Cricetulus griseus: one gene and its partner. The protein of the gene in region 1 interacts with the protein of each later gene in a biochemical or structural test. Links are inferred from orthologs where the notes say so. Each region holds a gene or a part of one and is shown on either strand. Other genes may lie near its edges.

Region 1 (3,959 bases):
AGGGCCCAACACACTGTGGGTGTCACCATCCCAAGGCAGGTGGTCCTGGAATGTATAAGAAGGCTAGCTGGTAGCATGCATGTGTGGTTTGTTCAACTAGTGCACAAAAGCAGAGACGAGGCCTGCAAGGGCCTGTCTTCGTTTACAACCAGAGCTCATAGTTCAGAATGAGTTTTGATACACACAAGAAGGACTACAACACACAAGATAGCTCGAAGGGAGCATGGTGTTGATGGTGAGATTGGTTGGTTTATAAGTTTAAAGAATAGGCAATGAGAAAACCAAGACATACGAATCACCATGTAATTTTCACGTGATAAATGAATATAATATAGTAAAGCTAGCTGAGCGTGAGTCTAGGAGGAAGCCAGACAGCAGCATTCGTCTGTGGTTTCTGCTCTGAGATATTGCCCTGACTTTCCTCAATGGCGGACTGAGACCCAGAAGTATAAGCCAATTAAGCTCTTTCCTCCCCTCAGTCGCTTTGGTCAGAGTGTTTTTACCAGAGCAACAGAGATGAAACTAGAATAGAATCCAAGAGGAGGTTGCCATGACCTGAGCCTTAGGGAGGCAACAAACCTGGGCAGGGGAAGCTAAGAAAATTGTATTTGTGGTTCAAAGCTAATATTGACTTGAAATTAGCTCATCCCTCAAGATCTGCATCCATGCTTCAAAACACACAACCACCTACCCATCTATGCAACCACTCACCCATATATCAACCCAACCACCCAAGAACTCATCTACCCACCACCCACCTATCTCTCTATCCGCCTCTCTGTCCACCCATATACTCACCCACCCACCTGCTCACCTATTCATCCATCCGTATTTTTTAAGGTCTTCTATAAGCCAGGCACTGAGCTGTATACTAAATAGGAAGGGGATTTAAATGCATATATAGGAATGCAGAGTTGTCACTGGTAGACTCTAGGCAAATGCTATACTGCCAAGCTATGTTCCCAGCCCTTTACCTTGAGGTAGGTGCTCTACCACTGAGCCACACCCTCAGCCCGCAGTTCAAAATTACCACCAAATGTTTGCTGTGGTAGTGAAAGAGAAGGAGGAGAGGAGGAAGCCAGATTCACAGGACCTGGCTGGGAATGCACCCCAAAATGACCCTGTTCTGTGGTAATGTCAGCATTTCTTGGAACCAGAGATGAGGAAGGGCCTGCCACAGAGTCAGTTCTAAGGAACACTGAAGATGAAGGGGAGGGACAGGGACTTATCTAAGGGACAACTGCCTCTCTGCTGCTGCCAGGTTCCTCTTGCAGCTGAAGGAGTCAGGGGAAAGTAGATTTGATGTACACTCTCCCTATGTTTCACAAAGCCATCAACTATGTACAACTTACCATTAAGGCCAAACAAAGGACTGGCCCAGGGCCAGACTCCCACCCTGCCTCTGATCCCTGTGGTTATTTGACTCAGAGGGTGACAATGGTCTACTTAATCATTTACCATGCCCCCGGGGTGGGACAGGCCTGCCACACACCATAACCTCATTTAATCCCTTGTACGGCACTCTACAGAGTGGTCCATTAGCACAGCCCATTCAACAGGGCTGGAAACTAAGACTTAGAAAGATTGCATGGCTGGGGAGTGGCTGGGCTGGGAGTCAGACCTGGATGCCCCACACCCACAGCCCAGACCCTTGCCATGCTGACTTGGAAACACAGTAGGAAATTGGCCTGGGCATCTACCCAGAGAGAAAACTATGAAGGTCTTTGACCCTTCAGAGGGTCATTTTCACAGATGCTTGTAGATGCCAGGTGTGCCTCCCTCCCACCATCCAGTCCTGGTCTCAGAGCCCACACCCTTGCAGTGAAGATTTTGAACAGGGTTGCCTAATGTCATAACCAGCATGCAAGGGCAATGCCATTCATCGTCTTGGTGACAGAATAATTACTCAGGGAAACCTGGATTTTCTCTCAAAAAGTTCCTTGTGATGTTGCTTTGCATTGGACACATGACCTTTTGGTTACTTGTGACAGTCCTGTCACATTCCTGTCCGATGATCTGGCATCACACAGGGACCATGAAAGAGAACAAGGGGGACCCGAAGACACCACTGGCAGCGAATCCCTGGGCACACTGCTGGGGAAAGGGTTAAGCCTAATGCTTCAGTGTGATAGCTTAATGCCTTCAGCTCACCTCAGGCTCTACCAGGAAGGCTGACAATCCCAGCAGAGCAAACAATAGCTTGGATTGTTCTAGAGAAAACTAGTCTGGCAGCATCATTTGCCAATAATTTCCTAACAGCTTTAACTGTCTTCTGCTTCCTTGACTTCAACCCAACCTGAAAGCAACAGCAGACAAGGCCTCGTCTTGGGCACAGAAGCCTGTGAACCTGACTCCTGCTGGGAAGAGGTGATGGCAGGAGGGAGCTGAGGGACAGAGATGAAGACCCAACAGGTCATACCTTTGGTAGGGTTAGGAATGCACCCAGGGCGACTGTCCTTCATAGCAAATGTCAGGGTTTCTCGGAACCAGAGACCAAGAAGGGCAGCTAGGGCAAGACCGAGTACACCTGTCCCTTGAATGATGGACAAGACTGTGATCCATGTGCACCCAACTTCTGTTCTAGAACCATCAGTGGGAATGTCAGGTTCTGGGAATGGTACCATGGGAACCTCTACCTGTCACAAATGAACAAGGCCCTCTTAACTCGTCCAGTCAAGTTTTTGCAGAGGCCTACCTTCTCTGTCACTCAGAGCCCCCACAGCGGCGTTGTCTTCACTCCACGTCAGGGATTCCTTGCAGTCACTGCTTGCTGCGAGGCTGGGTGAGATCACCACTTCTAACATCGCCTTGTACCTGAGTGGAGACAAAGGGAAATTAATTTATTCATTATTATTCATGTTTGCTAATGAATCATCTTTTCCCCCTAAGAATGTAAATATTAAAAGCTGATTACCTATTCCTAACCTTCTAATAGATTCCATATAATACAAATTCACAAACTTTTAGTCAAAATGGAAATGAAGTCCTTGCCCCTAGAGAGCACGCCCACTCCATCTAAACACCCCTCCTGTGCTTGGAATTTCCCATTAGAGGTATTGTGTTTTGGTCTCTCTTCTGGATTGCCTTTGAACTGGGGAGACATCCCAGGAGAGGAAGGGGTGACAGGGTAGGGGGAAGGATTGGTATTTCAACTCCCATAGACTAGAGGAGCTGGGCAAGGGCACTTAGAGTTGGCTGTGGTAGCAAAGTGGGCAGTATGCTGTTTGTACAGGTGGAAAATGGCATAGAAGACAGTCACAGAATTTCACAAGTGCCTCTAGGATGGGGCCTGGTGCCATACCTCTGTAATCCTAGCTACTCGAGATGCTGAAGTAAAAGAATCCTAAGTTCAATACCAGCCTGGGCTACAGAGCACATTCAAGGCCAGCCTGGGCTACTTTGTGAGACCGTGCTGCAAAATGAAAAGTAAAGAGAGGTCTAGAGAGCAGGTGCTTGCCTTACACATGTGAGGCCTTGGGTTCCATCCCTGGGACCCGAGTGTCTCTAGGTGGTATGCCCCACAGCCCAGAGCAGCTGCCCCTTCCAAGAAAGCAAGCTCTGAGGCTGGAACTGCTCCAGATTTTGACATGTCACAGGGTTGGGGGTGGGAGTGTGTGCGTGGGGGAACACAAGGTGTCATGGGGTTTCATTTTTCATTGACACATCTCATGCTGGCGCTGTAACTGTAGTTGCTCCTAAGTGCCTGTATGTTATGACTGGGAAACAGGGCTGCCAGCTAATGTTCACAGCATGCGGGGTAGCCGTGCTCAATGGCCTAGACTTAACTCACAATACTCATTACTGAGTGCCACGTCAAACAGTAACAGGCAACACCTACTGAACATTTCTTAAGCTGAGGCCATCAGGGCATGGCCAGTTACCACGACACTGATGGGACACACCATGGCAGGACCAGGTCCAACACAGAAACATCATGGATTCAACTCTCTCTAGTTCTG
Region 2 (4,191 bases), on another chromosome or scaffold:
AGTATAGTCATAAAGTCACTCTCCTTCAACCGTTTGGCTTACCTTATCTCCACACATTGTTCTTATCTGCTGCCAGTCTTAGCTACTGACAATAGATTATCTTTATTTAGAGAAGCTAATTGTTTTCAAAATCTTTTTAATAATTGCTTTGGAACAAGGTGTGCAAATGAGGCTTAAGATAATTACAGCTTCATTTGTTTGTATAGTTTTACTAAGCATCCTCCACACAGAAACAAAATAGCAGATGATGGGACTTAAATTGCAGGACACCTCTGGTTCTCTGGCAGCAAAACAGGCTAGCATTGCAACACACACACACACACACACACACACACACTTTATTTAATCTTCTTGGAGCCACTGTGGTTCTAGCTTTGAGGGCAGTGTCCCTCTCAGAGCAGGGCAAGGATTATGTTACAGCGCGACGGTTATTGGAGCTGGGCACAGTTTTATTTAATTTACACCCCATCCAGAGCCTTTTGCATAAGGCTCCCAATACATTTTTGCTAATGGCAAGTAAAGCTTTTCGGCATTCATCGGTAACAGAGGTGGCGCTGGAAAAAAAAAAGCCACTGTGCAAATGGGAAAACTGAGTCCAGGAAATCAGTCGACTAAGTCAAGATACTAAACCGCAAATGAAGCACGGGTGTCTCTATCCAAACTCGGCTATTGTGCCAGGGCCAACAACCCTTCTCCAGATGCCACTTCTAGAGGCACTTTGAGAATAAGGGGAATGCTGCCCAGATCAGAGTACTTGCGCCCTTTTGGTTTAGGAAGGGAAAAGGGGGAGGGAATTAGGTTTGGCTCCCGGAGCTGAAGACAAACCTGGGAGAAGTCACTGAGTGCCTGCAGCACAGAACCCTAGTCTGCTGTTGTATTATTTATCGCGTTCCATAAGCTATTCATCAATCCATTATTTATTCATCTCAACATTAAGGTAATTAAATATGAGCTCACCGGGAAAAGCCAAGACTACAAGGGACAGGGATAGGAGTAAGGCGTAGAGGGTCATTAGAGAACGTCTGCAGTCATTGATTTGTGCAGAGATGAGCGAGGCTCCCCTTAGGTGACACCAAAGAGGGCGCCGCATTTCAAGGTCCGGACTTGCTCACCACCCTTTTCAGAGCCCTAGTTCCCTCCTCCCGACCCCACCCCACTTCCCACCTCTCCGGGTACTCCTCCTCCCAACACTCCTTATACTCTACTCCGCAGCAGCTTCTCCCTCCCCACGCGGGGCGGCTGGGCGGCGCGGCTTTGCTGCCTGGCCGGGCGGCGCGCAGGCTGGCCAGCTTCGGATAGGCGCCGCCTGCAGCCAATCAGCGTGCCGGGGACGCTGCGCGCTTTAAGGCCGCTGCGGGGAGAACAGAAACCAAGTTCCCCGGCAACCAACAGCATCCACCCGGCGGCAGGCGGGAGCCAGCGAGGCCCGGAAGGCTGCAGAGTGCTCCAGCCACTCGGAGTCTAGCGCGCCCTTGCTTCTCTCGGTCTTCCTACGCCTCCCACCCGCAAGGTCCGACTAGCCTCTTGGTTTGCGCCAAGCCTGGGAGGGGGTTAGGAGCAGCCGCGCCCCCACCCCTCCCCGCGGCAGCCGCTCCCCCCTGCTCTCTCAGATCCGCTCACTGCCGCGTGCGCCCGGGCCGGTGCGCCCCGGCAGCGCCAGCCATGTCGATGCTGCCGTCGTTTGGTTTTACGCAAGAGCAAGTGGCGTGCGTGTGCGAGGTTCTGCAGCAAGGCGGGAACCTGGAACGCCTGGGCAGGTTCTTGTGGTCTCTGCCAGCCTGCGATCACCTGCATAAGAACGAGAGCGTGCTCAAGGCCAAGGCGGTGGTCGCCTTCCACCGCGGCAACTTCCGCGAGCTCTACAAGATCCTGGAGAGCCACCAGTTCTCGCCTCACAACCACCCCAAACTGCAGCAACTGTGGCTGAAAGCGCACTACGTGGAGGCCGAGAAACTTCGAGGTCGACCTCTGGGTGCCGTGGGCAAATATCGCGTACGCCGAAAATTCCCGCTGCCGCGAACCATCTGGGATGGTGAGGAGACCAGTTACTGTTTCAAGGAGAAGTCGCGGGGCGTGCTGAGGGAGTGGTACGCACATAACCCCTACCCCTCGCCGCGGGAGAAGCGAGAGCTGGCCGAGGCCACCGGCCTCACCACTACCCAGGTCAGCAACTGGTTTAAGAACCGGAGGCAAAGAGACCGGGCTGCCGAGGCCAAGGAAAGGTACGCGGCGTGCTAGCCCAGACTTGGGCGACCCCGGGAAGTCTCACCCTTCATCCCTTTCGGCCCTTCCTTCCCCCCTTCCCTCAATCCCCGCAGGCATAGCTCCGGAGTCGGTACCCGCCGGCGGCGGGCAGAGGTCCGTGGGGCGGCGCCCCAATCTCCGTGACGCTGCAGTGAAAGTTCACGAACTCTCGAGGTTGCCTGCTAGGGACTGGGCCGCGTTTGCGTTGAGCACCCGCGCGTGGGTTTCTTTGGTGGGGAAAAGTGTTGGGAGCTGTTGGCTCTGCGTTTGTTGTTCCTGCCTTCCTGGCTGTCTGCGGTGAAAAGAGGGTGTCCAGGGAGTTTGTAGTTCGGAGGGAAGGGGTGTGTTGTTTGGTATATGCTTAGGAAGCCGGTTCATGCAGCGGAGGGTCTCGAACCTCCGCCCTTTCACCCGGGCTTGAAGCTTATCTGAGACATCCGCTCAGCCCCCAACGCCTCCGGGCTCTTTACTCGCTCTCTCTGGCTAGTATATGGATGAGAGTCCACTCCGCACCAGTTGGACAAAGGGAGGAGTCTAGTGGAGAAATACCCTGAAGAGAGAGCTCTGGGGGAGTCGCTACTGGGTGTCCTATCAGAGGCCCCAAGCCGGGAGAAGACTGCCGCCTGCCGCGCTCCCTCGTGCGTAGCCGGGTTGCTTTTTCTGGCCCCGCCGTCGCCGTGGGAGAGGAGTGGGGCTCCGGTCGCTGGCTTCTCCTGCTCTGGAGCTCCGAAGCAAAGCTTTGAGGCGGGGTGTGGGTGGGTGGGTGGGTGGGTGGAGGGGGTTGCTGTTTCTGCTTCCCCATCCTCGCGCAGACACGGCGGCGGCTAGGCCGGGGCGGTTCGCTGCCGAGCTTCTGGCCGATGTTTGGAGGCGAGCGGGGCAGAGGGCGGCGAGCGCAGCGCGGAGCAGAGCTGATAGTCTGGGGACCCGGGAGCAGGGCCCCGCAGGCTGTCCTTTGTTCGCTGGCACCCCGGGGGCCGAAGATCTAGTTTCCTTCTTCCTCTCCGGGTGGGAAACCACAGAGCTTCCCTAAATTCCGCCGAAAGGGGCTCTCCGACCTTGCGGGGAAGAGAGAGTGCAGACCGCCCGGCGCGCAGCGAGGGGCGGCAGCCGGCGCTCGGGAGGTGGAAGCCGCGAGCAGGGAAGTCCAGAAGTTGACTGGGACCTAGTGCGGGGACTGACTCGGCCGTGCGGGGCCCATCAGCGCCCAGCCGGGGTGGGGCGGCGAAGTTTTCCCTTCTGAGAAAGGGTGGGAGCCTATGGATTGTTGGCGAGCAGCTTGAGGCGAGGACAGGAGGAGCTGAGAAACGAACTAGGAGCAGCGAAACAGAGATTGCAAGGTTCCAGCTAGCCTTTAGTTTACAAAACGGCCGGTCTCTGAAGCCAAGCGAGGGCCCACTCCTGGATGAAATCCGAGAGACTGGCTAAGCTCCCTGTGTTTACTCAGGTCACTGGGCCGCTCTGGGCACGACTTCCCATGACCTGTCCTAGGTCTCTGAAACCCCAATCTCCAGACAGGGGCTGGGAAACTGGTCATCTAATTGCTTCCTCAGATGGTGGCAGGCCATTGACTTGGGTCACCGCAAGCATTTGTGCATTGGGCAGTTTGTCTCCCGATCATTTCTTTATCGCAGCAACCATTTGTCTGAGGGCTTCCAAACAGTTACTTGGGTGTACGGGGCTAGTTGACGGGTACTTAAACGTAGCTGCTGGGACAAAATTGAAAACACATTTTTGGGGGCTTATTTTAAATAAACACGGCTCATCCGACTTTGAGGAGTACGGAAGAAACGGGGCTATGTGCAGGCAGCAGGCTCCCCATTTCCCTAGTCGGCCTTTTCACCTCCCCCATGACCCTTGGGGATGGGTGGGAGGCAGAGATCCTCCATTTGGATTGGTGACAGATTGCACAACGGCCCTTTCCTCCTCCCAGCCCCCCCTCCCTTC

What was found.
Region 2: the proteins of Eya2 (region 1) and Six1 form a complex in vitro, tested with the Homo sapiens proteins (2 studies listed by IntAct, with this or other methods). The link is inferred for Cricetulus griseus from reciprocal best matches to the Homo sapiens genes EYA2 and SIX1.

The regions. Positions count from the first base shown.
Region 1 is NC_048599.1:13,742,085-13,746,043, forward strand, and holds the start of Eya2 (eyes absent homolog 2), read right to left. Parts: upstream 2,805-3,959; coding exon 2,696-2,804; intron 199-2,695; exon of another isoform or gene 73-198; intron 1-72. UniProt on the Homo sapiens protein: Functions both as protein phosphatase and as transcriptional coactivator for SIX1, and probably also for SIX2, SIX4 and SIX5.
Region 2 is NC_048598.1:130,342,228-130,346,418, forward strand, and holds the start of Six1 (homeobox protein SIX1), read left to right. Parts: upstream 1-1,384; 5' UTR 1,385-1,662; coding exon 1,663-2,222; intron 2,223-4,191. UniProt on the Homo sapiens protein: Transcription factor that is involved in the regulation of cell proliferation, apoptosis and embryonic development. Plays an important role in the development of several organs, including kidney, muscle and inner ear.